Linked DNA regions of Astyanax mexicanus. The protein of the gene in region 1 purifies or fractionates together with the protein of each later gene. This does not show direct contact. Links are inferred from orthologs where the notes say so. Each region holds a gene or a part of one and is shown on either strand. Other genes may lie near its edges.

Region 1 (10,917 bases):
TACTTGCCCATAGAGTCTGCAACCATTTTTCCAGCATCCTCTTCATTTTGGTCTCTTTACAGGGAAAGGAAGAGGGTAGAGGTTACTAATAAGATAATGTTACAACACTTAGCTGAGTCTGTATTCTGAGAAAAACCCATTTCCTGAAGAACATCAAAAACATTACTCATTTTTAACAAGTAATTGCATTAAACAGGAATCACTAGAACACCAGTTTAATCAGGTATGCTAATTTTATAACCAGATATAGGCTAATTAATGTACGTATCCATGACTTTCAGCAGCCTTGAGCAAAGTGCTCGCTAGTGGTTTTTGATAAAAGCTTGACATGTACCATGCTTTTTTTTCTGCCCAAACTAATTGAGCATTAGAGGAGCACTTAACACACATTTTACCACACAAATGTCCTAATGTTTATTTTATGTAGCAATGTAACAAGCCACTAAAAAAACAATTTGATATTACAATGTGAAAAAATGATTCCACATAATGGATAGATAGATAGAATAGATAAAATAAATCCATTCTATTATGTATGATCTCTAAGGCTGTTGAACTGACTCTGACTCAAGCTGAATATGTTATAACATCCCTGCTGTTAAGCTTTAATGGTCTAAAAAAAACTGCTGTCTTCTGAAATATAAGGCTACAGAAAACTTCACTAGGATCCCTAAACCCCAATAAGGAAATTTGCTTAATTTACAATTAGACTAATCAAATCAAAGGAAACAAGAAGAAGATCAATAGCAAACGCTGTACATTTACAAGCCTGGCTAATGCATAGAACCATACAGACAACTAACAGTTGTAAGAAGAGAAAATATTAAACAAACGTCAGTTAAAAGTTAAAGGTCCCTGTGATTTAGTGTTCCTGTCTGCATTCTTTCTGAGCTTTTTTCACTATTTATTCTTAGGTATTAAAAATGAGGGAATTACTAACAGTATCCTAAATAAGGAACAATTACGGGACAACTCACTGAAAATGCACGGCTCTCAGCTTGCTTACAGTGAATTACGCAATCTCTATTTATCCGTGAACTGCACTCTTCTTGGTATACTGACCTCTCATTGTCACTTTTGTCCACCAGACCTTGCAACACAGCATCAAGTCGATTTCGGGCACCGGCACCTTCAATATCTATAAAAGAAAATCATATATAACTGGTTAAATATTTAGTGTTTTAGATTATTTTAGCAGTCAGTGTCAGCTGATAGCAGTAATCACTAAAATTATATGATAATTATTTAAATGTTTTTTTTTTGCTTTTTTTTTTTCTTTTCTTTAAACACAGCATTACAGGCTGAACTAGTGAACGTTGCCTCGGAAAGCTTTTAGAGACCACTGAAGTCATGTCGTCATTTTGTAGTTGGCGCCATGTTGTTTATGCCAATATTTGGGGTTCCTTGTCTAAGCGGCTCAAATAAATAGGGAATTTGAAAGGACTTTTCAAAAACTGGCCTGCGTTTAAGGTGAGGAATTAGAAAAATGCTAACTTTTTCAGCACAGCAGCTGGAAACGACACCGGACTGGATTCTGCATAACAACAGCGACCTCCGGTCAGATCACATTTGGATTATTATTCTTCTTCACAGAGGATTACGGCCGGAGTTTGCTGGCGTTTCGCCGAAAATAGTCCCCGGCTGATCTCTGCAGCTGGGCTCGGAGGTCAGTTCACTCCGCTGTAGCATTAGCTTAAAGTTAGCATTTTTCTCATTACGACTCTTAAACGATCTCCAGTGATGTTCAGGAATAAAATTTACAAAAATAAAATGTACAGGGGTCTGAATAGATTTATTACGACAGAATAAGACAGAGGCGAGTTTTTGAAAACCCTATTAATTTTTCTCATAAGGAAAAACCACTTAGACACGGAAGCCGTACGAGGACTACATAATGACGCACAACTTCAGTGGTCTATTAAAGGGCAGCAGGGGAAGCACTTTTATACTCTCTTGTGACAAGACTCAGTGTCTAAATGCCTCAGTATAGTGCTGGACCATATAACCAAAGACGTATTTCACTGTAGTTTTCAAAATTCTGTAATTCATTATTTTATTTTTTTTTGCATGAATGGGCTTTTATATAGGTTTGGAATGTACTGTACTTACTATAAGGCATTGGGTTTACTTTGTCCCACAAAATTACACAATATATGAAGGAATCCAACTTCATTAACAGAAAAACAGCTGAAAAATGTAAACAATAGACTTTGAAAGACACACGCCAACAACTATAACACAGCTTTCTTTACAAAACAAAATATTTTTTAATTTGACCAAAAATTCACAATATTTAAATATTTAAAAGAACTATTTCTCAAAAGCTCATTTGCCCAAGTGAGAAAAGTTCAATATCAATTTACTATATGTTATTTCTGAAGTCATTGAAGCCAATACAGTATTAAAATTAACCACAACTCCCTTCTTTACCCAGTTAACAAATAAATTCTATTCAGTGTGCATTAAAAAAATCCTTTAAGCTACAGTACTAATATATTAAAATGGACTCTTTTCTGAGTGAACAAGTGCTGTTTGCTGTTGTTTTTCTATATTTCTCGGTTAAAAACAAACACTCATACAGTGAAGAACAGTGCTGAGACTATGTAATAATTTCCATTTTTTGTTTTGTTAAAAAGTGTACAACAGTTACAGCAGCCATAAAATCTCTATATTAAAATTCCGTCTGGAGGAGAAAATTCTTTTAAAACATACTTTTTTATATTTTTTTGTTCTTGTGCTGGAGAGGGCCACTGCCAGATTACATCATGCTAAAGCAGCTACAATCCGATACTGGTCAGAAGCTATTGCTTTCATAAAAAATAAGTTTTTCTGAAATAAACTGATGAATGGGTATTTGTTACATAGTATTATGTAAGGGTGCTTTGAGTGCTTGTGTGTTAATTTGTATGTAGGCGGATGTATGTGGATGTCTGCTATATATTCTACGGAGATTTTATTTATTATTATTATTTTTTTTTTACTCTTGATGGAGGTGTGTGTGCTGTGTTGTGTATAGTGTTGTAGTTGTGTGCCTATATGTACCTGTTTCTTTGGAAAAAAGGAAAAAACAATAAAAATATATTCACAAAAAAAATAAAAGTGTACAACAGAACAAAAGAATCCAAATATAAATTTTGTTCAAGGCTTACCTGGCTTCTCGGTCTTGATTTTCACGTGAAGCATTGTGACTGCAGACTGGACCTCACTTAAGAAATGCTCTTCCCAGCCAAATCCATTAATAAACACTGTGAAAAGGTACATCTGTCAGACAGTAATATTCACTGCCTTAACAAAAACATAAAATATGTGTATAAAACTGTCGCAGTAGTGACTGACAATCTGACTGTAAAATGCATAACAGCTAATTCACTGGTTATTAAAGAAATTGACTATTTGAACCTAGGTTCCCTTCAATGTTTTAAAGGTACTTTTTACCATATTTGGTGTAATAACACATGCTCACCTAAAACTTTGGTTATGGGTTACTCTAAGTTAGATAATTTTGGACAAACTCAGCCAGGATGTTAGATCACTTTGCAGTGCAGTTACTCTGTTACTGGAAACATCTTACTTTTCTTTTTTAGCTAACTACCTTGGTAGAGCCTGGGATTTATACATTAATGTATACTTTGGTAAAAGCAATGCCAGGCCTTTTGTTATTTTGTGAGCTTTAGAATGAGGATTATTCATATGGGTAAATAAAAAAAAAAACATCTAGGTTATCATAATTTTTGTTGTATTATATATATATATATATATATATATATATATATATATATATATATATATATATATATATATATACACATTTGTTCATTCATATTAAGATCTTCAGTAAGAGAACACACTTTTATATGTAGACTTCTTATTTATTTAAACTTATTGATTTATTATTTAAATACATTAGGGGGGGCGTAATAGCTTATAGCTTATCTAGTTATGTGGGTTATGTTTACTGTTTGCTTCGAGGTAAAAAAAAAAAAAACACAAAAAACACATACACACACACAATATTAAATCGCTAGCTAACAATTTGTTGCGCTGATATATCGGAACCTTTAACTGCTCCATATATGTATGTCCCTTTAGGAGTAAATATTAGAAAACACATACAGAACTATAATGAATGACCATAATAAACCAGCCAAGCAACTCAAACAACCAGTAACAAACAGCCGTGAAGTTATCCTAGCTTCACCAGCTCAATAGCTAACCTAGCTTAGCCGTTTAGCTAGGGTTGACTTTACCAGCCAGCGAGATAATTATAAATAACACAGTCATTTACACACCAGCAAAACACTTACTCAGCGCTTAATAAACGTCTAATATTATATTTAACTGCTACAAAAATAATGTTCACAGTGGTGTCCACCGTTATAAATCACACCTTAGTTACCGTTTAGCTGGAAAGCTACTCTCTCTTCTCTCTTTTCTGTTCGCTTGACTTTCCTCTTCCGCGCGCAAGACGATTTCCCGATTCCCATTGGTCAACGCAATTAGGCGTTCCTTAATGTTATTAGTTAAAAGGCTTGTCAGTCAGCAGCTTCAGCATCTGATTGGTTCTTCGCGGTCCATTTAGACGTTTCTAACAGTTTTGAGTAGCTAGGAGATAAAAGCATAGCCGGTTTATAGCGAGACTGGCCAATAATCTTCACACAATTACCACACACCGCTAGAAGGAGCCCGCGAGAGAGTCGCGGGCTCCTTCTAAATGGAGCTGATGGAGCAACAGCACATTTAAAACACCAATAACTGGCGTTTACATTATTTTAAAGATATATCTGCGCTATTTAACATTTTATATTACTATGTGTTAAGAAAAGTGAGTAAATATTTTAGTATAAAATTTATAAACATTTATAAATTATGATTTTGCTCAGTTGCTTCTTCTAAACCCATTTAGTTTAGACTCCATCGGGAGCGCCCTCTAGTGTCTGAAAAAGCAAGAAAACATTCTGAAGTGGGAACTCTCTTCTCTATAGAGATTCTCCTACTGGAGTTAATGTTTGGAGACGCTTAGGTTAAATGTGAGGCTTTATTTAACTCATATTTCACAACATTGTGTGTTTTTATAGACGTTTTAGTGCGTTACAAGACAGCACGATTTGAGAACATGTTGTTAACCGCTCAGAACATTTAGTAAACTACTTAATTCGCTGGGTTAATGTTAGCAAGCTAGGTTAGCTAACTAAGCTACAGTTAGTATATTTGTCATCAACTGTCTGGTTAAGGCAACGTTAACGTTAGTTCGATGTGTAGCCTAGTTAAGCAATAAGTTTCGCTAGATAGCTGTTTATTAGCTAACCTAACTAACATAGGTAAATATTTACTGCTTTTCTAAAATCCATCTGATTCAGTTGTTCATTGTTACAATATGCCAAAATTGTATAATCTGATAAGGTTATAACACTGTGAGAAATTTTGGGAATATCATCATGAAGTCCAGGTGAGATAGAAATTGAAGCAGTTTTTTGTATTATTCTGATGTCCTGTGATAAGCACATAACCATATGTGCTTTCAATAGACATGGTAATCTAACACCTAAATCTTTCCTCACAGTGATCCTGTTTTCACCAGACACAACCCCTTTCCTCCAGAACCACAGTTCACTAGAGCCCATTACAATCCATCTCGAGCAAAGAAGATTCCTAAGCAGCAGAAGAGACTGGTGAGATCTGTCTGTGTATATGTGTGTCTGTTTTAATGGATATCATGAAGTGGCTACCAGTATCATTTGGTCTTTTGATTTTCATTTGAGAATTATTTAATTTTTAAATATAATGCCAAAAAACAAATAACAGCTTGTATTTTTTTTTGATGATCCGACCAAAATTTGCAACCTTAAATGCTACTGCAGTACACACAGACAGTTGTCCTTCATCAGTATAAAGTTTATTTCCTTTATTCATGACTGGAATTGACTGTTTTTATGTTCCTATGGTCACGAAAGCAAAACTAAAATGCAGCGGAAAAAAGTAGCACAAGCTTTCCCAACTAGGTAGGCTACCGGGGACGCCACCGTGTCAAAATCTGGACACTGTATTACCTAACTGTAACACTAGAACATACATAAGCAGCAGGTTAGAAATGTAGATAACTGATGGTTATCACAGCAGCCCTGTAACAGATCATGAGCACAAAATGCCCCTACCCCTCCCTCCGTGCTTCTTTCTTAGACTGCATCCCAAGCAGTTACAACTACATTTCCTTTAAAATACTATTACTTTATTCTCGTAATATTACGACTTTAATTTCATAGTTATACAACTTTGTTTTAATAAATGTTTTTATTTGGGAGTCAAAGGAGTAGTCTAGCCTTCACATCCCCCGCCATGAGAAGCCTCCTATATTGGGAGAGTGCACTTTAGTTTGTGAGGGGTTTTCTCTGCATTTTACCGGTAGTTTGTTTTTTTGTGACCAAAGGAACAAAAATATAGTAAATTCCAGTCCCTGAATAAAATAAATACTTGATTTCTAAAATAAAAAATTCTGCTAGTAAAAACTTGATTTGCATTACTCACTGGTAGCATGTTAGGTTTGCTATTATTTGTGACATTAAGTGAAAAATCCTAATGATTAATTTAGTTATGATTTGACTGTTTGTGTAAAGGCTAAATGATGAATATTTCTCCAGGCCCTGAGCCCTGTCCGCTTTGACCAGCTGGCCAGTTCTCCTGACTCTTCTCCTCACGCTGCAGCTCTCAGCCCAGAGGACCAGCGCTTCCTTAAAGGATCTCGCCGAGTTGTTTTCTGCCCTCCTCCGTCTGTAAAAGATCAGCAGATATTTTCTGAGTCCTGGCCTTCCACCGATCAGTCTTCCTCTCCTGCCAGTGTGACAATTTCATCCTCCTCAGAGCCCCAGGCTTTAACAGCAGATCACACAGAGCCCAGTGGAACTCAGGAATCTTCAGTACTGGCAAAGTATGACACACAGGGAGGGTAAAACCCTGTAATAATAGTTCAAATCCATATTTGTTTTTGATGGTAATTTGTTTATTTATTGTATTCTAATAGAGCAGAATGTTTACATAATGTCAGCACTGACCCCCACCCACACTCCAGTACTGTTTCAGGACAGAAACTGCCAATTTGACATACATTTTTGAGTTGTTTCAATTTTTAATTCCTTGTTGCTCCTTTCAATTCTGTTTATTTTTGTCCATACCCAAACCAAATTTCCTTTTTGTCTGACAGCCCCCAAACTGCATCTACTTCTTTGAGGCAGGTCCACAATTTCTAAACCGCAGCCACACTGACCCGCACTGACCATTTGTTGTTTTTTCATCCCTTGTTTATCCCATTCACTCCCATTCATTTTTATGGAACCACTCAGTAAACACCTGGTACATTATCTTAACCTCCACCACCACCTATCCACACCATAGTAATCATCTTGAATGCTATAGCAACTTGTGAAAAAGCTCTTGTCTTGTTTATATTGCTCAGTAATGCTGATTTTAAAAACATATATGTAAAAAAAATCTTTATTATCTGTATTTTCCGTTATTCACGCATCAAGACATGAAAGCTAAAGGAACCCATTGGATGCTTCAGTAATTCAGAGAATAGTTAAACTTTTTTTCTCTGTTGTGGACAAACATTTTTAAAATTAACTTATAAAGAACCAAAAAGCAATATACTGTTAATGGTTTTATATTATTATGTCCAAGTACCCTTTGTCAGTGGACATGGACTCTGTTCAGAAGTTGAAAAAGCAGGATTTCAGGATAAAAATATTAAAATATTGAAACTTTATACATTCAAGAGCATTTTAAAAAAGCAATTTTTTTTTGTTTATCTTTCCAAGGTATATTGAGCGATTCCGTTATGGAAGACCACAAAGCCGTGAGGAAAGACAGAGGGTGACAACTGGATTAGATGGACATCCGTTGTGGTCGATGTCCTCTTCCTCTCCACAGCCTTCCAGCTCCACTCCCACCCAAATCTCCAAGGAACACTTTAGAGGTGAGATACATGTATAAGACACTGCTCACTACAGTCACTTCTGGCAGGATACCAAAATCAAACGAATACATTTTTATGTATTGAGTATCATATTTTTCCCCACTATCCTTTAATTTTCCCCAAAATTGTCAGTGTGCCTTATAATTCGGTGCATCTTATGTATGAATTTTACTAGTCAGGTTGTAAGGAGCATTAAAGGCACTCTGCTGAAGTGCAGCGTTATACAGGAGTTTCAGTTTAGCCCAAGGAACCAAGATAGGGACAGGATTAGCATTTGGTGCTAAGTGCTAGCTGTTCCGTCATTCAGAGGTGAGTATTATTGGCCTGTAGCCTGCATGTTTATCCAAAAAAGTTTTCATGAGGGAAATCAGTGTAGATTTAACATCCAGCACTCAATTGAAGTTTTGTTTACCTAGCTTAGCTTTACTTCATTTAGTTAATGCTAGCTAGCCCCACCACCACCCAGCAGCAAAACTTGCTAAATTAGAAGGGAAACATGGCGACACCCCTGTTCCTTACTAGTGTCGCATAATATGCCTTATAATCTGTAGCACCTTATGTGTGAAAATAGACCTGAAAATATAAGTTTATTGATAGTGCACCTTTAAGTGCGAAAAATACGGCAATTGAATCAGAGTTCATGTCTAAATCTGTACATGGCATTAGCAGATACCTGAAAATCTGGTATTAGTATCAGAAGTTTAAAATAAATTTGTGTATCTGTGTATATTTAAACACATGCAAAGGAAACACATGCAACACAAGTAATATAATTAAAACATTTTAAAAAACAGAACGGCTCAAGGCTTCTTAAATCTACTGGGATTTAATAAAATAGGAAGCAGACTTCAGTAAGAGGAAGAGTGACACGCCTGATCTCAAATGCCAAATGAAATTAGAAAGAAACTGAAGACTTGTCTTCTCGACATACATCTAACAGGATGCTGCACAAACTGCTGCTTTCACTTTTAAATAAGGTTTAAAAATGTCAGCAAGAACTGAGAGAAAACTTATGAACCATGCCTTCCTGAAAAGGACATCTTAGAAGTGTGTGTGTCCATTGTGCCATCTGCTGAAATGTCAAAGCAGTCATTCAGAAATAGTTTGTTAAAGGGAAACCAGATGTTGCATATATACAACGAAATATGAACACCCATAAAATAAAACAATGTTTTAATGCTTAAGTTGAGTGATTGTGCACTTTCAATACCCTGCTTGTACCTCTCTGTTAGAATGCATTTTTTAAGTTTTAATCAAACCCTTCTAACAAAATATAATATATAAGTATGTTCGGCCTTATAAGAATTGTTTATTTTAGTACAGTATTTACTATTCATGTGTATTAATAATGTTGGCTGATTGACATCTGGAAATCTGATGAGTCCATGCATTTGCCTTTAATGTCACAATATATAGGCCTGTCACTACCCCAGAAATTATTCTATAAAAGATATTATTGGAATTTTAAGACCATTGTATTCCACTGATCTAGGTTAATCGTAAAGTATTAGGATGCAGTTACACACTTTTTTAGAGCAATAAATGTTTTATTATTATTAGGGAAAAAATCAAACATTTCTATTGGAAAATATTTAAATGTTTAAATATATAATTGTTTCATATTTATAATTTGCTTTATATTTATAATTTATGTCAAAAAATGTGTCAGAATACAGGGATAATGGGGTCTATTGGACTGACTGCCTGAGTAAAATGATGTCCTCACTAAATTAAACACAAAGATAAATATTGAGGTCATTAAAAATTATTGATGTCATGTTCATATATTATGACAATACGATAACTATGTAATTATTATTAAAAATCAGGCCTAGCTATATATATTTTTAGTTTTATGTAGCCCCAATTTGTACATATTCAGACATTTACATTACTAAAAATAATACTGTATTTTTCGCACTAAAAGGCGCACTTAAAATCCTTTCATTTTCCCAATCATTGACGGTGTGGCTTTCAATTCAGTGCATCTTATGTTTGAATGTTAGTAGGCGAAAAAAGGCCAAATTGCAGTGGTATACAAGCGTTTCAGTTTTGTTCTTTAGCATCGGGGCTGAAGTAGCATTAGCATTAGCCGCTAACTGCTGTTTACCCGTTCAGAGGTGAGTATTATTAGCCTGTAGCCTGCTACTAACCCTGGCTAACATTGCTGATGCGACATTAGCATTACCTACTAACCACGCTCGCTATTCCATCGTTCAGAGGTGAGTATTATTGGCGTGTTGTCTGCTGCTAAACCTGACTAGCACTGCTGGAGCAGTTAGCCGCTTATGCTAATGCTCCATCCTTAGTCCAGGAGAAATTAGGCAATTTAAGCTTACTGTAAATAAGTGGAAGTGCTTTACTCACCCAAATAAACAATTTTCAGAAGAGAAATCTGTGTAGATTAACATCCAGCGCTCGTTTGACTTTAAAAGAGTTAGCTAACCCCCATCAAGTTAATTTTAGTGTCTCTTAAAATGCTCCTTATAATCAGGTGCGCCTCATAAAAATATATAAAAATGTACCAGAAAATAGACCAGAAACTAGACGTTCATTGATAGTGCGCCTTATAATACGCCGTAACTTATAGTGCTGAAAAATGCAGTAGTTTAATTATGCTATATGTTATTATTAACTTTTTCTTACATAATTAATTCACTAAATTGAAGAGCTTTGAGTTGGCATGCTGATTATCTTTTGTCTCCACAGGTTCACATGAACTCAGGAGTGACAGAAATGATAGCACAGGCAGCATGCGCAGTCCAGCTGAGCAGTCTCGGGCCAACAGGTCACTCTCTCCTCCCAGAGGCCTGCTTGACCTGAGTGCACTTGTAAGAAGCTTAAACTTTCTCACTGTCGGTTACGCAGTCTTATCGTGAATAAACTTTCGTATTGTGAAACCTTGTGAGGTGGTGAGATGCTTATCTGTTTCTTTGAAGGTGTAACTGTGT
Region 2 (11,663 bases), on another chromosome or scaffold:
ACAAGAAAACTCATCACTGCTCAGAGTGTGAGAAGAGTTTCTATAATCAGAGTGCTCTACGGAGACACCAGCGCGTTCACACTGGAGAGAAACCGTATCAGTGCTCAGAGTGTGGGAACACTTTTACTCAACAGAGATCTCTCGATCAACACCAGCTCATTCACACAGGAGAGAAAACCTATCACTGCTCAGACTGTGGGAGGAGCTTCAGTCAGCAGAGTACTCTCAATCAGCACAAGCTCATTCACACTGGAATAAAACCGTATCACTGTTCAGACTGTGGGAAGAGCTTTGCTAGACCGAGTCATTTCAAAAGACACCAGCTTATTCACACCGGAGAGCGTCCGTACTGGTGCTCAGAGTGTGGGAAGAGCTTTACTCACCAGGGTACACTCCGTCTGCACGAGCGAATTCACACCGGAGAGAAACCCTATCACTGCTCAGACTGTGGGATGAGCTTTTCTAGACTGTTTCACTACAAAACGCACCAGCTAATTCACACCGGAGAGAAACCGTTTCACTGTTTACACTGCGACAAAACGTTCACGAGACAGAGCCATTTCAAAACTCACCAGCGCATTCACACAGGAGAGACGCCGTATCACTGCTCAGAGTGCGACAGAAGTTTTAAACAACTGGGTCACCTTCAAAAACACCTGCGCATTCACACTGGAGAGAAACCGTATCAGTGCCCGGAGTGTGGGAGGAGATTCAAACAGCAGAGTAATCTCCTTCAGCACCAGCGAATTCACACCGGAGAGAAACCGTATTACTGCTCAGAGTGTGAGAAGAGCTTCAGACACTCAAAGACACTAAAGATTCACAAGTGCATGAAGAACAGTCACATAAGTGAGCAGATACACACTATTCCAGGTTCCAAAATTACAAATCCAGATTTAAACAACGGGGCTGGCTTGTTTATAGAGGAAAAAAACATGTTGCTTGAAACAGTTTCTGAAACATGTTCATAAAATATGAATTACAAACACGTGCACCTAAAATCCTTTAATTTTCCAAAAAATAATCAGAGCTGCTTATAATCCGGTGCTCCTTATGTATGAATTCTATCAGTCAGGTATTAAGGAGCGTTAAAGCCACTCCACTAAAGTACAGCGCTTATAAATACAGCGCTTGTAAGGCCGTCATAATGCAGCCTTACTTATTTTGGTGATTTTGGTTAAAAGGATATAGATTGTTTTAACACGGTAGAAACGCAGACTACAGTCCAATATGCAATATATTGGACGTAGCATGTTAAAACAAGCCACGTCCTTTTCACCAAAATCACCGTTTTTAACAGGATAAAAACGCAGACTACAGTCTACTATCCAATAATGGACTGTAGTCTGTGTTTTTACCGTGTTAAAACAAGCCACATCCTTTTCACCAAAATACGTAAGGCCACAGTATGACGTTTTGTCATTTTCGACCAATCAGGAAACCTTGTTTTTTTTCCATGAAAAATTAGTCAAATGATTGAGAAAATGCCTGGGCATGTTCAATTGGACCAAATTTCATTGAGATATGCAACAATATGCACTTTTCATTTTTCACCAAAATAAGGCCACGGTATGATGTTTTGGTCTAAAAATGACTCGAATGAGTGAGAAATTGTAACTTCTAACTGATAACAGAAATGTTATTCAGCTAGTGAAACGTGACATTTTAATATAGGCCTGCTATAACTGGTTTTGACATGGATTCTTAGATTTTTGTTTTTTTTCCATGTCTGCACTGATGTTTTAAAGATCGTATGGTTATTAAAATTAACTGCAAAGACATGAACTCTGATTAACAGGATCAGGATTTTAACCTTAAAATATTTGCAGCCAATCAATGTTTAGAAATAGGTCGGCCCTCTTATGGCTTAAAATGGCCTAGAACTATATCATGTTCTGTAACTGAAGCATGTTATTTTGCATGTTGGCAAGTGTTCACAGTCTTTATATAAATCTTATAAAAGTTATTTATACTGTACATGTTCCGGCCAAGTGAAGTTAAATGATGTAATCATCCAATAAATCACCATTAAAAATCATTTTTTAAAGCCTTGTGTGATATTTATATTTAGTTTATTTTGTTTATCATTTTATGTGTCCATACTAAGTGTTGTGTAAGATATTGGATATTATACAGTCATGATAATGCACAGTGTATCACGTAAACAAACAGACAATTAAATAAATAAATAAATAAATTGTTTGTATAGTCTTCATGCATGCCCACAGTAATGACAGCCTCAGTTGTAATGTCTTTCGCGGAAAGAAGCTTCTTTTGTCTCCTTTATTATTTGAACAGGCGGCAAGATGGAGTCACAAAAACAGTTTCTGGGTCACAGGAGCTTTTAATTTTGGGGTTTTTGTAGTGTTTAAATTATTGTATGGAAGTGTGTTCACTGTAACAGATACTGACAGAGGAGAAAGAAGAAAAAAAATAACATTACATTCACATGTACTGAGAATAGTGCTGCATGATATTGCAAATGTTATTTTTTTTGGCTATATGTATTGCAATATTAAATAATGCAGAGCCCATGAGTCAGCTTAATGCATCTGTTGTCCTGCAGCCATATAGAGTTTTAACTGACTGGAGGTTATTAGTAGATGAATAAACACAGTGACAGCTGCATGATTTTTTTTATTTAATTTAGATCTCAGGAGATCACAGAATTCAGCATTTCTGTAATTCAGCATTTATTTAAGTAGCTTCAAATTTACATTTCTAATCCCCCTGCTGAAATAACAGGAGCATATTCTGTATGTTATTCCATTATTCCTGTGTTAATTTATGACTAAACTCACCTTTACAACAGAAAGAAGAGCTGAGGACGGTCCAGTCCAGCTGATCGGATGAGGAGCCAATCAAATCGCAGAACTCTAGTTCCGGCAACTAGCTGTCAAAATAAAAGTTCTGAAACGATGCGAGACAATTGCAGCACTTGTTGACATCTAAATATTATTAATAATATCAATATTGTTATATATACATACTTCCGATTAAAATTTTTAGAACATACAATATTTTTGTTCTTTATTTTTGTCATTTAAACTCTTCAGATTAATAACATATTAACACAAAACATACAGCATAAAAAGTCTTAGCTGTTGACTAACATTAGTTGTAGTGCTGGAACATTTATTTAGAAATACAGACACTTATCTATCCATAAATTCTTGCGCTTTTCATGACATCGTAATAAACAACATACATAAAGTTGTAATTGTTTTCTTAACGTGACCTGATGAGCAAACAGACTCAGTTTTTTATGACGTTTTTTTATTGATAAAGCTTTGATTAAACATCAAAAATGCATATATATATATATATATATATAAAACCCTGAAATGTTAATACCTCATATAATGATTGCATAAGGGCCATTCCACGGAATTTCCAGGCCTGCTATTAAATATTAAAAACAAATCAGTCTTTAAATTATAATTTTATTTTTTAAGGGACAACATCTATTCAAACCAATCTAGCCCTGTGTGAATCCATTCATTCATTACTTTGGCTCTTTATGCACTTGTGTGACACTAGTGTTTTACAGTACCTGAAGCTCGTCTCACAATCTGAGCAGTGATACGGCTTCTCTCCTGTGTGAATGCGCCGATGCTGATTAAGATGACTCGGGTGATTAAAGCTCTTCCCACAGTCTGAGCAGTGATACGGTTTCTCTCCAGTGTGAATGCGCTGGTGTTGAATAAGACCACTCGCTTGAGTAAAATTCTTCTTACACACTGAGCAGTGATACGGCTTCTCTCCAGTGTGAATGCGCCGATGCTGATTAAGATGACTCGGTTGACCAAAGCTCTTCCCACAGTCTGAGCAGTGATACGGTTTCTCTCCAGTGTGAATGCGCTGGTGCTGTTGGAGAGTATTCAGAAGATTAAAACTCCTCCCACAGTCTGAGCAGTGATACGGTTTCTCTCCTGTGTGAATGCATTTGTGTCTTTTGAGACCGGTACTTCTAGTAAAACTCCTTCCATAGTCTGAACAGCAATGCGTTTTCTTTCCTGTGTGAATGCATTTGTGTGTTTGGAGACTAATCTGTTGATTAAAACTCTTCCCACACTCTGGACACTGATACGGTTTCTCTCCTGTGTGAATTCGCTGGTGAGTTTTGAGATCACTCTGTTGAACAAAACTCTTCCCACCGTCTGAGCACTGATACAGTTTTATTCCAGTGTGAACACGATGGGGTGTGTTTAGATTACTCCCTTTAGCAAAATTCTTCCCACCGTCTGAAAAGCAATGCGGTTTCTCTCTTGTGTGAATGCGTTCGTGTGTCTTTAGATTACTTTTTTGATTAAAGCTCTTATTACACTCCGAGCAGTGATACGGTTTCTCTCCAGTGTGAATGCTTTTGTGTATTTTGAGACTGCCACTTCTAGTAAAACTCGCTCCACACTCGGAGCAGTAATAGGCTTTTGCTCCAGTGTGAATGCGTTTGTGTCGTTGGAGAGTTCTCTTAAAAATAAAACTCTTCCCACAGTCTGAGCAGTGATACGGTTTCTCTGCTGTGTGAACGCGCTGATGATGAAGAAGATGACTCTGTTGATTAAAGCTCTTTTTACAGTCTGGGCAGTGATACGGTTTCTCTCCTGTGTGAATCCGCTGGTGTGTTTTGAGTTGACCAGATTGAGTGAAACTCTTTCCGCAGTCTGAGCACTGATATGGTTTTATTCCAGTGTGAATGCGCTGGTGTATGGTGAGATTAAACGGATTATTAAAACTCCTTCCACAGTCTGGACAGAAAAAGAGTTCCTCTCCAGTGTGAAGGAGCCGATGTCGGTTGAGATTACTCCCTCTAGTATACATCTTCCCACAGTCTGAGCATTGGTGAGTTTTAATCTTGGGTGTATTTTTCTTTATTTGTCTGTGAGGTCTTGGAGAGGATTTTAGCTGAGAATTGGAGGTTTTTCTGGGTGCCATGTTCTTCCCCTCTTTCAGTAGATTGAAATTTTGGTAAAATCCTGTGATCCTCTGGGTTTATTTGTGATGTTAAATTTGGAAATCCAACACCATAAGCAGGAGACTTGGAACATGTGTGCATTCATTTCTGTAAGAAAAAATAAAACATTTCCTCAATAGTTGTGGACATTTTGATTAGCTTTAGATTTTAATAAGTGGTCACAGATCAAATACAACTGATATTGACACAAAGCAGCTTTACAGAACAAAGAATCAAACAAATCACTTAACATATAATACAGAAACCCCAGTAAGCGTAAGAGTTCATGTAAACTTTGATGTAATCAGTAATGGAGAGTGAGTAACCAGTCCGAGGCATGGATAAACTGAACAAATAGATTGCCAAAACACACAACTGTTTATCCCAGCCATTTAAGATGCATATTAAATGCAAAAGGTGTGAACGGTTGTGTTTTTCACACTCCTTTGTCATCAGATCACCCTGGATGCATGTTAACGACAGGTGTGAACCAGTGAAAGTTCTGGTAACATGGTTAAACATGACTATGTTCAGACTGCGAGCAAATCTGCTATTTGTGAGTGATCAAATCGGATTTGCCTGTCTAGACATCACAAACTAATCTGCATGAGTTGCTGTGGTTTAAGAGCAGTATCAGTAACTAACCCTTCACTTCCTGCCTTAAATGTCAGTGTATATATGCAGCATTTACACATTTACCCACAGCACATTCACACTTTCATCATAATAACTAGAAAAAGACACAGAATCACACAGAACTCTGTAACTGTTAAAAGTAGAAGTCTTTCTTTTCTTTAGAGAAATTACAGATGAAGTCAGAGAGCGGTGAGTACTGTTTCCTACACCTTCAAATAAAGACTCTTAGAAACTGGAGAAAAAAACTGCTACAGGAAGAGTCACGTCTGGCTGACCCACATGGAAACAGCAGCTTTAGCCTTTAGCTCAGATTAACATGATAATATACATTAATTAACCTTACCAGATTCACCTACAGTCTTCATATACACACAGTGCGCTGGCAGAAGAAGTTATTAGGACAATAAAAAACCTGATTAAAGTCAGTAAGAAACACTGAATACAGAGTAAACTAACTACTGACACTCCGCCGTGTTCGCGCTCAGAAGACGCCAGCGGAAGACCTGCGGAGCTCCGCCCAGGAGCCCAGCAGCCAATCAAACTTCAGAAATCTACTTCCGCCCAGGAGCCGCTAGCCCTGTCAAAATAAAAGTTCTACAAGTGTGTTTGTCTCTGTCCCAGTTGCATAATACACACTAATTCTATCCCCCTTATTCAAGGAAATTCCTCCAGTATATATATTGTATATTTTAATGACCCTTTATTAGACTACAAGGAGAGATTTAAAGTAAACTTGATTAGAATTTTAGGTAAATATTATATACACAAAATGTTAATTTTCTAAAAAGATACACTCATTTCATACATTTATTATATAAGATCATCATTTTTTTACCCACAGTGGGGGAATTTGCAACAATAGCAAGGCACTCAGTGCCGAAAATAGATAAAATAAACAGTACAATATATGCATTATAAATAATACAAAATCAAGAACACAGGAGTAATGGAAAAATATTTGACATTATATTACAATTAAAAAAACAACTATTGTCCTTAATCTTTGAATAGCTTGAAGCTTTTCAGTATTATTTGAATCCTATTTTTCACAATAGGTTTGTCTGTTTAAGTTTTTTTTTTGTTATATTTGTGAATTGTGTTTGTTTTATACAATGTTAATTTGGTCTAATATTGTGTCTATTTCATTATGTTGGATTTTAAGTTAATGCATAAAACACAGTAGAAAACAGCATGAAAATATAGTTACATTAAGGAGAAAAGGGGGAGAAAATCCTAAATATAAAGGCCAGTGAAAGCTCATCACAAATTTAAAAAGTAAAGTTTTTAGAAATGTCTTGTTTTTGGTCATTCTAAAGGATTTCAATATAGTAATGTAAATCCAGTAAAAAGATTAAAATATTTTGGTATTGGAGTCAAGTATTTACATCGGTAAATGTAGTATTTACTCAATAAATAAAAATATTAGTAATATATTGCTAATATAGGTCAATGTATGAAAAAAAACGCATATTATATCTCTAAAGTTCAGGTTCACAGAGATGTTGGTAAGTTATCTCGCCGCCATGTTTTATTATTGTTGTTGTCGCTCCGCGTGACGTAGGCAGGTTCTTGCCTCGCTCCCATTGGCTGAGAGCGCGCGGGTTTCGCGCCATTCGGGACCGCGAGCATTGTGGGATAGCGGCTGGAGGAACCGCGGCGCTCCGGTTCTTTGTTGATAAACCGGGTTTATAGAGTTTCAGCGCGGAGAGAAGCGGGAGGAATGCGGGGAAACGGGTCGGATTCCGGGCTCGGTGGGCCGGAGGACGGAGGGCTGATCCGGGAGCGGCTGGAGGCGCTGTGTCAGGAGCTGAACATGGACGAGGAGACCGCGGAGGAGGCTCTGGAGAACTTCACCTCCATCTGGAACACCTACACCCTGGAGGTAGACCAGCTCTTTACCCCCATAAACCAGCGTTACCCTTAAATAAACCACATAAATAAAGTATTTACTCTCATTTACAAGTGATTTATTCATTAAACTGTTATTTCTACGCGTTTATGTAACTGACAGGCAGAGCAGAGCAGCTGAAGCTTCTTTATTAAAGTGTATGTTTTAAAGCCCACAGCTGACCTGGGATCAGAGCAATCCCTTCCACCTTAAATTATTACAGTAGTCTGTGTTGGATCTTAAGGTGGAACGGACTATTCCAACATACAGTCAGCTGTGTGACAAACAAAAGAATAATAATAATATATTTCCCTAAAAAAAAACTTTTTAAAAGCTTGAGTATGATTTGCCTCTTTGACCAAACATTAAAAACTCATATAACCCGTTGTTTATAGGACTTTTGTTGTGTATCACTTTTAAAACATCCGGAATTTGTTGCTTTGTTTGTTTATTTAATTATGTATGTATTTGTGTATGTATGTATGTATGTATGTATGTATGTATGTATTTATTAATTAGAATAAAGCAAGACTTTACGAAAACTAACTATATCTCTACTCTGATAAACTTTTACAGTTTTACAGATACAGGTACCTGGGTTAAATAACACTGACCAGTGAATAAACAAACCACACACTACACTAAGGAAAAAAAAAAAATAAATAAATAAGTATATCTGAATATAAAAAATACCACAGAAGGACATATTGTGCTCATTACCAAATGTATATTTTGAATATCACACATAGAGCAGAAAATATAATAATAATAATAATAATAATAATAATAATAATAATAATAGAAGAACAGTTATGTACAACAGTCATAATGCTTCACAGTATGATAGCACAATATGTATGGAAATATCTTAATTGTAATGTATTCAAGGTTGCTATATTATAGTTATTTGTAGTACGTATATAACTAGAGATCTAGTCCTGGACTAGAATGCAGTACCTGTGTTTTAATGTTCTGTACAGAAGCGTCTCCTGGTCTGATTTTAATGGTGTGTATGATTGTATTCTCTCTCAGGGTGAGGTGGTTCACTGGCTGGCCTGTGCTCTGTACGCTGCCTGTAGAAAGGCTTCTATTCCCACTGTGGGGAGAGGACTGGTGGAAGGAAACTGCGTCTCCCTCACCAGGATACTGCGCTCCTCCAAACTCAGGTAAAGAGTTATTTGCACCTTTGTCTCATGTCATCATACGTTCTCATTAAAAACATTAGTTTGCCTAGCTTAGTGCAGCTTCGTATCCAGAAGTATCCCAACACCACCCATAACCCTTTGAATGTAATTGACGCAAATTGCGGCAAAAATCATGCTTGTTGTTTATACAACTTAATTACTCAGGAACGCATCTACGCACCAACCTGATCATACATTGTGACAAACAGGAAACCCTATTGTTTAAAAAAATCGAACTGACCCCCCGCTGAACTGAAGTGATTTTGAGAAATCTATTGTGAAATACACAGTGCACACGCAGCTTTCAGGTGCGCTCTGAGAGAGTCAGTGCTCACAGGCTTCAGTTATGGATGGGCAGCGACAGAAGCTCATCTGAATGAGGAGAATTACTGTTTTTTTCTATTTTGTATATATATATATATCTATATAGTGTATATTATAATTAAACAGCATTTATCTGATCATTTTGTTGAAGAACTCTTTATTATAATAGTTACTGTTATTATAAGCAGCTAATAGTAAATATCCAGTGTACTAAATCACTTTCATTAGATACGCCTGGTGCTGCTCATGTATTCTGTCGCAGTAATAAGCCATGTAATGAACTATCATCAAAATCCTTATTCTTTCCACTAGTATACACTCTAATCTAACTATTATTGAAAATAAAACACTTGTGTAAATTAATTTGTAGTCTGTACATAAAGTCTGTATAAAGAAAAGTAATAGCATGTGTCTTTCACCTCACATAACTGTGTTATAACGAGTAAAATGGGAACTGACAAAAACAGAGAAAAAACACACCAAAATAAGCTGGGGTTCAAAAGCTTAATGAGTGAAATCAGCTTCTTAATCAGTGGTGAGCAGCCATACTGAGGTAGTGGCCCAGCAAAATAGCACTGTTCACAAGGGTGTATAGAACCAAACAGAGCCTACTGAATTCAATAAAATACAGAAAACCACTATTCCATTATTCTGATCTTCCTCTTCTTCTCTCTTCCAGCCTGATTCAGTTCTTCAGTAAGATGAAGAAATGGGCGGACATGTCGAACCTCCTGCAGGACTTCCGGAACCGAATCAGCCACCTGGAGAGGAATTTTGAAGTGTCCACTGTGATTTTCCGTAAATTTGAGCCCATCTTTCTGGACATGTTTCAGAATCCTCAGGGTGAACCCCCCCGCGTGCCGAGAGGCAGGAAGCACAGGTGAATTTCCACTCGTGTCTTCATGTGTTCTCATCATCCATTAACTGTGTTAAATTTAAGTTATAATACTCTCGAGGTTCGTGCTATAACGTGTAATATTGGCACTGCTGTGCTGCGGTTGTAGGCACGAGGCCACAGGCCGAGTATAGAGTAGATGAGTACAGCAGTGCCAATATTACACTTTATAACTCGAACCTAGAGTGTATTATTGTTTTTGTATTATTATACCACAGTTCCATTATCACTGTTTTCTGAAAGATTTTAAAGAGTTAAAGAGGAGGAGAAAATAGGATCTATTTGGTTATAAAAACTCCACCAGTTAAAATAGTTCCATTGCTGCTCTGTTTGTAGCTGCGCTGTTTGGCTTGTAAGCGCTGCATCGTTGCTAGGTTACCTGTATGTGGCAGAGTAATACAGTAATACATGGAGAGCTTCGGTTACAGTGCATTACCGGCTGATAACAGCACTCATAGAACGCCTCTCAGCCAATCACATTGCAGGGTCGTAACTAAGTGTGGGAGAATAAATGTTTATACATAGTTTCTCACTTTTATTTATTTTGTTGAGTTATAAATGGTTTATAATTACGTTGTCTCTCTTCTAGGCGCCTTCCGTGTCACATCAGTGACGTTTTTAAATTCTGTTGGACTCTCTTCGTGTACACTAAAGGTTGGTTGCTTTTCTTTTATGGGCTTATGTCAAGAAATGCTAGTTTGTTCTTTATTAATGAATGTAAAGTGTTGAAAATGAGATGCAGCAGAACACTGTATGTCTAAAAGCTTGTAGACCTTTTCTCTTTATTGTAAAATGGAATGTTGCAAAAGCAATGGTAAAATTAATCAATCAGTAACCGTATTTTTTGGACTATAAGGTGCACTTTTGCCAAAAATCAACAGAGCTCCTTATGATCCGGTGCTCCTTATGTATAAATTCTGGCAGTCAGGTATTAAGGAGCAGTAAAGACACTTCACTGAAGTACAGAGTTATAATTGTGACGTTTTATAGAAGTTTCTCCAGCACTAAGGCAGGGGCAGCAACATTAGCATTAGCCACTAACCAGCCTAAGCGCTAGCTCTTTCATCGTTTAGAGGCAAGTATATCAGACTGTAGTCTGCATGTTTACCGTGTTAAAACAAGCTACGTGGGACGAACCGCTTGCTAATATCGCCCTGAGTTAGAGAAACACTCACGGTTCTCCGTATAGCGCTATATCGGTCTGCATTTACTAGCGCTAACCGCATCTACCGCTGCTGTTTCCCCAGCTTCCCCATTATAAGGTAAACATGGCAAGACCCCTATTCCTTACTAGTGTCGCTTAAAATGCACTTTATAATCATGTGTGCCTTATGTATGAAAATAATCCAGAAACTAGCGTTCATTGATGGTGCGCTTTTTCTTTTTTCTTTTTCCGAGCTCTAAAACTGTGTTGATTTAATTATGTAACGCAGGTAATTTCCGTATGATCGGAGATGATCTGGTGAACTCTTACCATCTCCTCCTCTGCTGTCTGGATCTGGTGTATGGTAACGCTCTACTCTGCGCCAATAAGAAGGACCTTGTCAATCCGCTTTTTAGAGGTAAATATTATCATTTTTAAGCATTAAGAAGACAATGGGACATATATATTTCTGTACTGCTTTGAATATCACATACCTTTTTATCATGTTTCTTTTTTTCTTTCTTTATTTTAACATTCTGTATTAATTCTAACTGAGTGTTTACAGTAGCTGCAGTCATGTAAAAAAAAATAGCACAATCTTTGTCTATCTTTTTAAACATACATAAACATATGAACAT
Region 3 (10,967 bases), on another chromosome or scaffold:
TGGCATATCTCTTTTGGTCTATTCACTTTTTTCAGGTGTTTTGCAGCTAATGAAGTCTGATTTATTCATTCATTTATTTTTTATATTATACGTACTTCTAACAGTACATTAACTCACAAACCTATATTAAAGCCCAGTCATGCAAAAAAATAAATTAAATTAAATAATACCGTGATATACCTTAAAAAAGACAGATTCTTGAAAAATATCCATGATATACATTTTTACTTGACATTAGTGGCCTGTCCAGGGTGTACTCTGCCCTCCGCCCGATGCCGGCTGGGATAGGCTCCAGCTTCATTTCACCCCAGCCCTCCGGACAAAGTGGGTATTGACGATGGATAGATGTTGCTTTACATTAGGTTTAGACTAGGGCTGCATGATATTGGATTTTTTTTTACATCGCATTGTTTTAGTTGTCTGCAATATATATCCCCAATATTACACAACGCAGGATCAGTGACATCACCAGCCCCACCCCCACCAGCACGCTGTCTCAGGACAGAGATCTGGACAGACCAAGAGCTGAGTCAGCATTTTAGAGTCAGCTAAGCACTCAAAACTGGAGGAAAACAGCAAAACAACAATAATTAAGCATTTACATGGCCTTTTAAAAGGTAAATAATAGCGTGTTTCTGGGATTAAAAGCATGAATTCAGCTGGAAATATTTGCGCAAAACTGTGTGGAAGTGAGGTGCACAGCTTTGGACAGACTGTCTGAAGCTGTTACAGGGTTCATACACTTTTCAAATTTTCATGACCGTACAGTCTTTAAAATATCAGTGCAGACATGAACAATAAAACTGATTATAGTAGGCCTGTATCCTACTTAAAATGTGTTTTTGCTCTCGGGCTATGTTGTTCTTTCAGAAACTAAAACGGAGCTAGTCATTTTCCTTCTAATTTCAACATTTATTTTTAATGGAAAATGTGGAGAGATTAATTGAAGATATATATGTATATAAACCGACCTACACTGAATAAGCATAACCCCCTCATTCACACACACACACCTCTCATCTCTTTTACTCTCAGTCCTACAGGCAGGGGCGGGCGCTCATGTCTCCTCGGTGGGTTTTAAGAAGTTAAATCTGGACAGTCTGTTGAATCACAGTTTAAAGGAACAGCGAGATTTCGTTGCTTTAGCGCTGCAGGGTAACCGGGCTTTTCCCGGGGGTAAATACCAGGGCCGGAATGAGAGCAGCAGCATCAGTCTGGTGTTTAAGTAGCTAACGCTAGCTAGCCCGTGCTCCTTCTCCTGTGTACAAAGTCACATTTCTGCAGTTCAGGTCCTCGCGTATCTGCCTTTTATTAGTCTGAATGAAGCCGGAGAGCACTAAATCAGCAAGTTTCTCTCACTGAGTGAATTAGAGTTACAGTGCAGCAGCTGAAGCTCCGGTTGGATTTGCTGTTTTGAAATTTCATGACTTTTCCAGGTTTTCATGACTGTACGAACCCTGCGGTTACCTACCGTGTTTACGCTAGGAGTGGGCGATATGGATCAAAACCTATATCTCAATATTTTTTTTCTGAATTGCGATATACGATATATATTTTGATATGTTTTCATCCCATAAGGTAATATCAAAAAGATATTTAATATATATATATATATATATATTTTGTTCGATATTATTTCCGATTTTAGGGTCACGATTCCATTCGATTCTCGATTTTCTTTTTTCTTTTTTTTACAGCAGAGAGGCCTATGCCAGTTTTAGATTAGTCTATGGTCAGTCATTGGTTTGATTCATCAAATTAACAATAGCTTATTTCAAAAGGTGGGCTTGATATAAGTGATGCAAAGTGATCTGTAATACACCACATTAGGCACTAAAGGTCAAATTTAAATAAATTAATTAAGATATATATGTAATGCAATCTATTGGCTTTTTTTTGGTAGCAGCAGTGTGCAATATTAAAACAGCAATGTGCAACAAAAAAATAAATAATAAACAAATACAGGAATGTACAAAATAATAGAACAATTAGAGCCTTAACAATCTGAACTCTATCCTATTATAAAAGTTAAACATGAAAAATAAGACTCGGTCTCTGAATGCGGTATTTTCGCAATATTTATTGTGAAATAACGCACTCAGCTCCCTCGCCCAGGAAGAAGGAGGGGGAGGTTTAAGTTGAGCAGCAGGAATATGGAAGCGGTGAGGGAATACAGCGATTTTAAAGGAATAAAATCAATGATATTAACATTAATGTATCTTAATATAACGGCAGCCCTGTGGAGTGTGGATTATTAGGAATGTTGTCTAATTTGTGTGGTTAGTTTATTACAATGGAGACACGGCCTTTTTAATACTTCTGTCGTCACAATTATTCCACAGGTCCTGATATATTTGGGAGAACCGGCTTGGTGGTAAAAGAATGCAGCACACTTCTCCCTTATTGGCAGAACTAACAACATCTCTGCTGTTCAGAAGCTAAGATGCACAACACAAAGCCAATGTTTATGCCGTTTTTATTGATTAATACCCTATATTTGATACTTACAATAAATCCAAATTTAAAAGTAATGTAATTAAATGTATTTTTTTACTTGTGGTATTTATTTCTTTATTGTGTTTTAAGTATTTGTATATGTACCTTGGAAAAAGTATGTTGTGAATTTTAAAATATTACTTATCTAAACAAGGAAACCAATTGGTCATTCATTATTAAGTGAAATGTCTTGTTTTCCCTTGTGTCTTATTAATTGCTCTTTAACCAAGCAAAAACGTTTTATCCGATTACTCGATTAATCACATAAATTTGTAGTAGAGTACTCTATTACAAAAATAATCGATAGCTGCAGCCCTATTATCACAGATCATTGGCACCTAGTCCTGATAGTATAGCGCATGTGTGTGTGCGGCACTCACTTAACAGGACAATACGATGTGTAAATTCAAAATAAAGGCCCTTTAAATTATAACAAAAATAATATTTTACTCTGAATTTAAACTTTTTAAAAGGAATCCATCTGCTAACTAAGATAAGTTCTACCCAGTCCTGATAGTACAGCACTTTGAGTCACACACTTAAAAATAGGACAATATGATGTGTAAATGTAAAATAAAGATCATTTAAAGTATAACAATTATTACATTCCAAAAAGCCTTCATATTAACAGGTGGATTGTCTTTAATAACAGTCTAAATATTAAGTCAAAATAGTTATAATTGAATGGGCCTTTATATTGTCTGTATATTGTCCCGTTATTAAGTGAGTGACATATACAAATGGTGTACTACAGGACTACGTGAAATTGATCTGCGATATCATATTCCTTATAATACAGGTCTAAACCTAGATTAAAATAACAATTGTTATAATTTGACGGGCCTTTATTTTGAAATGACATCATAATGTCCTGTTGTCCCAATGCCCCAACGCGGCGGCTACTTTGACCAAGTATGTGGAAGTGGAGGCTGGCTTGACCGCAGTACAGGATCAGTAACCCCCAGTTCCACCACATAACAATAATAATAATAATAATAATAATAATAATAATAATAATAATAATAATAATAATAATAATAATAATAATCTCACTATGGCTAATTAACTAGATAACTAATAAAGGCAACATACGGCAACTCATGACACATAGTCAGCTCTGCAATGCTGAGGCGCGCAACTAACTGGCTGTTTTCATTCTCTCCAAGTGCCGTCAAACAGGCCGAGACTAACTTTCGAACAACTTTATTAAAAGATTCACAACTGAAACAAAAACTCCACGATTCTGAGCAGGGAAGAGGAGTAAGACAAGCTGTAAAAGCATTACAAAAGTTTCCACGGTAAATGCACACGATGAGCTAGCTAGCTAACGCTAACCAACAACGTGCTAACTGGGGTCCGATCTCAAGCACCCCCGTGTTCCCTTCTTAACTAGTGTACTAACAAGTAACGGAAGGTTTGGCAATCAATAATGAGGTCTATGAGGGAATGGTAAGCCCATTTTTTAAAGATACGATGCACTACTTTCCCCAGAGAAGCCGATATATTATGAGCTGTGCAGCGCCCTACACAAGGAGCACGGAACCATTTGAGACACGGACAATATGTCATGCTTACGGCTTTGAGGTCCAGCACTCCATCCTTCGCCTCCTGCAGCAGGGTAACAAACTTGGTGGTTAATAGTCCGAGGCTTTTCTCGTGGCGGCTCGGCGTCGCCGGCTGCAAAGGTTCCCCCATCGCTCCCAGTTCGTTCCGCCCTGAGTCAAATTCCATCCAAGTTCTGGTGCTGCTTAATGTCGGCGGTTTGTCTCTGTGAGTCTGTCATATATCTGTGAGTAAGTCGATTGCTTCTCTTCAGTCCAGCAGTGTGCGAAACATGGAGTGGAAATTCGAGTTTAACACGGGTCGGGTCCAGTCCAGTCCAGTCCAGGACACGGATCCGGATCCGGAGCTCCAAGTGATCGCGTAGCTACACACACACCGACTGCACTACTTGAATGACTGAAGCCGTTAAAACGCAGTGCATCATGGGAGATGAAAAGAAGACATTATTGCAGCGTGTGGAAGTTCCTTTAGGAGGCGACAAAACAGCGAGTTCACCGCATGGGCTTTTAACCTTCCTCTAGTGTTACTATTGCTTATGTTAACGGGTCGGTTTTGACCCATGTCTTAAATCAGCCCTAAGATACCCTAAAAACAATTATTTATGATCCAATTTGTTTATCACCTCTTAGTTACCTTGTTAGGGTTGATCATCCATGAAAGGTTTGATTTTAAAAAATTTTTTTGGGGCCCCCTGGGCCCTTCATTTGAGAGCATACCCCTGATTTTCAATATAAAAATATTGCCAAATGAACCTCAAGAGAATAATAAAACTTTAAAAAAGGTTGATATATTCCCTGACTATTACTGAAGGGTTTTAGAACACATTTCTTAAATGTAAAAAATAAATACATGTATATGTTTTATAATATTAACTCTAGTAACATCTATGGTGTTACAGGTCAATTTTAACCAATATATAAAATACTTTAAGAAAAAGGCAAAGAACAGAAATGTTTTTTATAGATAATAATAATAATAATAAAATGGAAATTTTCAAGGTCAAACAAACAACCAATCAAGCAAATCAAACCAACAGAAATCAAGTTCTAGTTTTTAGGTGCGTTAGTATTGTTAGAGGCATGTGTGGCAAAAAGTGAAACTTTTTGTGTGTTCTTTGCAGAAGTATTTTTTGCAGGTGAAGCACAATGTATTTGTCTTTCTGTCCTTATTGCTAGGGCAGACCTGAAATTTCTTTATTTTTGAATCAGATGGTCACTCTGGGGTTGTGGCTGTTGTGGCTGATGTTGAATGCATTGTGTGCAGACACATCAAGGATGTTGTAAAATACAAACATTGACCCTCTTCTCGTTATTGGCTAGCAAGTGTAGGTGGCAGTCAGCTTGTCCATGGTGTCCACTGCTCCTTTGTTTTTGTTATAGTCCAGGATGATTCTGGGCTTTTTGTCACGAAAGGAAGCAGGAACGGGAGCAGCTTTAGCACTGATGTCCTCCTCATCAGACTGATCACGTGTCTGTGTCTTCCAGTCGATAATCCACATCATCTTCCTCCTCAGAAACCTGCTCATCGTTAGCAACTGCCTAGCAACCACTTAGCAACACCTTAGCAACCACCTGGAAAACGTTAGCAACTGCCTAGCAACCACTTAGCAACCACTTTAGAAATGATAGCAACTGCCTAGCAACCAGTTAGCAACACCTTAGCAACCACCTGGAAAACGTTAGCAACTGCCTAGGAACCACTAAGCAACCACTTTAGAAATGATAGCAACTGCCTAGCAACCAGTTAGCAACACATTAGCAACCACATGGAAAACGTTAGCAACTGCCTAGCAACCACTTAGCAACCACTTCAGAAATGATAGCAACTGCCTAGTAACCACGTGGAATACATTAGCAACTGCCTAGCAACCACTTAGCAACCACTTCAGAAATGATAGCAACTGCCTAACAACCACTTAGCAACCACATGGAAAACTTTAGCAACTGCCTAGCAACCACTTAGCAACCACTTTAGAAATGATAGCAACTGCCTAGCAACCAGTTAGCAACCACTTAGCAACCACATAGAAAATGTTAGCAACTGCCCAGCAACCACTTAGCAACCACTTTAGAAATGATAGCAATTGCCTAGCAACCAGTTAGCAACACCTTAGCAACCACATGGAAAACGTTAGCAACTGCCTAGCAACCACTTAGCAACCACTTTAGAAATGATAGCAACTGCCTAGCAACCAGTTAGCAACCACTTAGCAACCACATAGAAAACGTTAGCAACTGCCCAGCAACCACTTAGCAACCACTTTAGAAATGATAGCAATTGCCTAGCAACCAGTTAGCAACACCTTAGCAACCACATGGAAAACGTTAGCAACTGCCTAGCAACCACTTAGCAATCATTTTAGAAATGATAGCAACTGCCTAGCAACCAGTTAGCAACACCTTAGCAACCACCTGGAAAATGTTAGCAACTGCCTAGCAACAGCTTAGCAACCACTTTAGAAATGACAGCAACTGCCTAGCAACCACTTAGTAACCACATGCAATACGTTAGCAACTGCCTAGCAACCACTTAGCAACCACTTTGGAAATGATAGCAACTGCCTAGCAACCAGTTAGTAACCACTTAGCAACCACATGGAAAACGTTAGCAACTGCCTAACAACCACTTAGCAACCACTTTAGAAATTATAGCAACTGCCTAGCAACCAGTTAGCAACACCTTAGCAATCACATGGAAATCGTTAGCAACTGCATAGCAACCACTTAGCAACCACTTTAGAAATGATAGCAACTGCCTAGCAACAAGTTAGCAACATCTTAGCAACCACCTGGAAAATGTTAGCAACTGCCTAGCAACACCTTAGCAACCACCTGGAAAACGTTAGCAACTGCCTAGCAACCAGTTAGCAACACCTTAGCAACCACCAGGAAAACGTTAGAAACTGCCTAGCAACAGCTTAGCAACCACTTTAGAAATGAAAGCAACTGCCTAGCAACCACTTAGCAACCACTTTAGAAATGATAGCAACTACCTAGCAACCACTTAGCAACACCTTAACAACCACTAGGAAAACGTTAGCAGCTGCCTAGCAACCACTTAGCAACCAACTGGAAAACGTTATCAACTGCATAGCAACCACTCTAGAAATGATAGCAACTGCCTAGCAACCACTTAGCAACCACTTTAAAAATGATAGTAACTACCTAGCAACCACTTAGCAACCACCTGGAAAACGTTAGCAACTGTTTAGAAACAGCTTGCAACCACTTTAGAAATGACAGCAACTGCCTAGCAACCACTTAGTAACCACGTGGAATATGTTAGCAACTGCCTAGCAACCACTTTAGAAATGATAGAAACTGCCTAGCAACCACTTATCAACCACTTAGCAACCACATGGAAAACGTTAGCAACTGCCTAGCAACCACTTTAGAAACACCTTAGCAACCGCATAGCAACACCTTAGCAACCACATAGCAACCACCTAGCAACACCTTAGCAACCACCCCAGATACCATAGCAACACCTTAGCAACCACCTAGCAACACCTTAGCAACCACCTAGCAACACCTTAGCAGCCACCCTGGATACCATAGCAACACCCTAGCAACCACCTAGCAACACCTTAGCAACCACCCCAGGTACCATAGCAACACCTTAGCAACCGCATAGCAACACCTTAGCAACCACCTAGCAACCACCTAGCAACACCTTAGCAACCACCCTGGATACCATAGCAACACCTTAGCAACCGCATAGCAACACCTTAGCAACCACCTAGCAACCACCTAGCAACACCCTAGCAACCACCTAGCAACAGCTTAGCAACCACCCCAGATACCATAGCAACACCTTAGCAACCACCTAGCAACAGCTTAGCAACCACCCCGGATACCATAGCAACACCTTAGCAACAACCTAGCAACACCCTAGCAACCACCTAGCAACCACCTGGTATATGTTAGCAATTGCCAAGCAACCAGTTAGCAACAGCTTAGCAACCACCTGGAAAACATTAGCAACCGCCTAGCAACACATTAGCAATCAAAAGTTTAACCAAAAGTTTTACGATTTCAGCATTTAAACAAGCATTTTTAGATTTCAGCGTTTAACCAAACGTTTTTAGATTTCAGCGTTTAATCAAACGTTTTTAGATTTCAGCGTTTAACCAAATGTTTTTAGATTTCAGCGTTTAACCAAACGTTTTTTAGATTTCAGCGTTTTTGGCATTTAGCGTTTAGCCAAAAGTTAACAGCATATCAATGACTCTTCATACTCTTCAGACGGAAAAAGCTTAGCAACTATTTTAACTTTTTAACGTTATTAGTGTTCTTTTCCAAGCCAACTTAAAGTTCGTTCAAGAACTTTACCTTTTCTAGTTCTACTTATTATTCTATTCGCGAAATTTAATCGACTACTCCTCCTACAGCTTTTGACGTAGAATGACAAAATTTTACAGTATCGTAGGACCTATACCCGATTAGGTTGCTTATGCTTTTTGAAGCGATATATCGTATGGTTTTCGTAAAAACTTCGTAAACGTGCGCCTTTTTTCCCATAGACAATGAACTAGGAGAATTTTGAATAGCCGTGTACGGCACAATTTTTGAGATACGAAGACCAAATTCGGAGGGCTTATAGATCTTGTCGAGATCTTTAAATTAATAAAATGATACGTTGTACGGTTTTCGTACAAATGTCGTACGAAGTTTCCCCATAGAAATGAATGTGGGGCCCAGAATTCCATCTTGCACACAAGCAGCTCTGCGCACGGAACCCCTTCTCTCCCCTGCTCCTCCAGTACTGTGAGTGTATGGAGGAGCTGCTGTATGGAGCAGCTATCAGTCAAAAGTTTGGACACCCCGGCACCCCTGCCAGGGTTTAGCAACCACCTATTAACTGCTTAGCAACCACCTTAGCAACCACCTGGAAAACGTTAGCAACTGCCTAGCAACCACTTAGTAACCACCAGGAATACATTAGCAACTTCCTAGCAACCACTTAGCAACCACTTTAGAAATTATAGCAACTGCCTAGCAACCAGTTAGCAACACCTTAGCAACCACCAGGAAAACGTTAGGAACTGCCTAGCAACAGCTTAGCAACCACTTTAGAAACGATAGCAACTGCCTAGCAACCACTTAGCAACACCTTAACAACCACTTTAGAAACGATAGCAACTGCCTAGCAACCACTTAGCAACACCTTAACAACCACTAGGAAAACGTTAGCAACTGCCTAGCAACCACTTAGCAACCACTTTAGAAACGATAGCAACTGCCTAGCAACCACTTAGCAACACCTTAACAACCACTTTAGAAATGATAGCAACTACCTAGCAACCACTTAGCAACACCTTAACAACCACTAGGAAAACGTTAGCAACTGCCTAGCAACCACTTAGCAACCAACTGGAAAACGTTATCAACTGCATAGCAACCACTCTAGAAATGATAGCAACTGCCTAGCAACCACTTAGCAACCACTTTAAAAATGATAGCAACTACATAGCAACCGCTTAGCAACCACCTGGAAAACGTTAGCAACTGTTTAGAAACAGCTTGCAACCACTTTAGAAATGACAGCAACTGCCTAGCAACCACTAAGTAACCACGTGGAATATGTTACCAACTGCCTAGCAACCACTTTAGAAATGACATAAACTGCCTAGCAACCACTAAGCAACCACTTAGCAACCACATGGAAAATGTTAGCAACTGCCTAGCAACCACTTAGCAACCACTTTAGAAACACCTTAGCAACCGCCTAGCAACACCTTAGCAACCACCTAGCAACACCTTAGCAACCACCCCAGATACCATAGCAACACCTTAGCAACCACCTAGCAACACCTAAGCAACCTCCCGGATATCATAGCAACACCCTAGCAACCACCTAGCAACCACCTAGCAACACCTTAGCAACCACCCCGGATACCATAGCAACACCTTAGCAACCACCTAGCAACCACCTAGCAACACCTTAGCAACTACCCCAGATACTGTAGCAACACCTTAGCAACCACCTAACAACACCCTAGCAACCACCTAGCAACCACCTAGCAACACCTTAGCAACCACCCCAGATACCATAGCAACACCTTAGCAACCACCTAGCAACAGGTTAGCAACCACCTAGCAACATCTTAGCAACCACCCCGGATACCATAGGAACACCTTAGCAACAACCTAGCAACACCCTAGCAACCACCTAGCAACACTTTAGCAACCACCTGGTTTATGTTAGCAACTGCCTAGCAAACAGTTAGGAACAGCTTAGCAACCACCTGGAAAATATTATCAACTGCCTAGCAACAGCTTAGCAACCACTTCAGAAATGATAGCAACCGCCTAGCAACACATTAGCAATCAAAAGCTTAACCAAAAGTTTTACGATTTCATCATTTGAACAAATGTTTTTAGATTTCAGCGTTTTACCAAACGTTTTTAGATTTCAGCGTTTCAAGAAAAGTTTTTAGATTTCAGCATTTTTAGCATTTAGCGTTTAGCCACAGGTTAACAGCATATCAATGACTCTTCACACTCTTCAGACAGAAACAGCTTAGCAACCATTTTAAATTTTTAACGTTATTAGCGTTCTTTTCCAAGCCAACTTAAAGTTCGTTCACGAACTTTACCTTTTCTAGTTATTAAGTTGGCTTGGAAAAGCCAACTTACTGTTCTTCGTAATCTTATTATTAAGGGTTCGAGCACGTAGTGCTAGAAACCCTATTGTAATTGTTCTGATTATTATTAGGGGTTCAAGCACGTAGTGCTAGAAACCCTATTGTAATTGTTCTGATTATTAGGGGTTCGAGCACGTAGTGCTAGAAACCCTATTGTAATTAGGGGTTCGAGCACGTAGTGCTAGAATCCCTATTGTAATTGTTCTGATTATTATTATTATTATTAGGGGTTCGAGCACGTAGTGCTAGAAACCCTATTGTA

What was found.
Region 2: the proteins of lin37 (region 1) and rbl1 purify together in Homo sapiens (affinity purification with mass spectrometry; 3 studies listed by BioGRID and IntAct, with this or other methods). This does not show direct contact. The link is inferred for Astyanax mexicanus from reciprocal best matches to the Homo sapiens genes LIN37 and RBL1.
Region 3: the proteins of lin37 (region 1) and e2f4 purify together in Homo sapiens (co-immunoprecipitation; 4 studies listed by BioGRID and IntAct, with this or other methods). This does not show direct contact. The link is inferred for Astyanax mexicanus from reciprocal best matches to the Homo sapiens genes LIN37 and E2F4.

The regions. Positions count from the first base shown.
Region 1 is NC_064425.1:26,442,184-26,453,100, forward strand, and holds the start of lin37 (protein lin-37 homolog), read right to left. Parts: upstream 4,596-10,917; 5' UTR 4,485-4,595; coding exon 4,397-4,484; exon of another isoform or gene 4,388-4,396; intron 4,084-4,387; exon of another isoform or gene 4,031-4,083; intron 3,246-4,030; coding exon 3,150-3,245; intron 1,139-3,149; coding exon 1,063-1,138; intron 55-1,062; coding exon 4-54; intron 1-3. Other genes in the region: proser3 (proline and serine-rich protein 3), read left to right, coding at 5,436-5,446, 5,561-5,669, 6,636-6,922, 7,809-7,966, 10,676-10,797.
Region 2 is NC_064412.1:57,359,671-57,371,333, forward strand, and holds the start of rbl1 (retinoblastoma-like protein 1), read left to right. Parts: upstream 1-7,192; 5' UTR 7,193-7,310; coding exon 7,311-7,472; intron 7,473-8,510; coding exon 8,511-8,644; intron 8,645-9,665; coding exon 9,666-9,866; intron 9,867-10,470; coding exon 10,471-10,535; intron 10,536-11,314; coding exon 11,315-11,443; intron 11,444-11,663. Other genes in the region: zinc finger protein 501, read left to right, coding at 1-971; zinc finger protein 585A, read right to left, coding at 3,499-4,935. UniProt on the Homo sapiens protein: Key regulator of entry into cell division. Directly involved in heterochromatin formation by maintaining overall chromatin structure and, in particular, that of constitutive heterochromatin by stabilizing histone methylation.
Region 3 is NC_064417.1:15,560,730-15,571,696, forward strand, and holds the start of e2f4 (transcription factor E2F4), read right to left. Parts: upstream 4,472-10,967; 5' UTR 4,228-4,471; coding exon 4,072-4,227; intron 1-4,071. UniProt on the Homo sapiens protein: Transcription activator that binds DNA cooperatively with DP proteins through the E2 recognition site, 5'-TTTC[CG]CGC-3' found in the promoter region of a number of genes whose products are involved in cell cycle regulation or in DNA replication.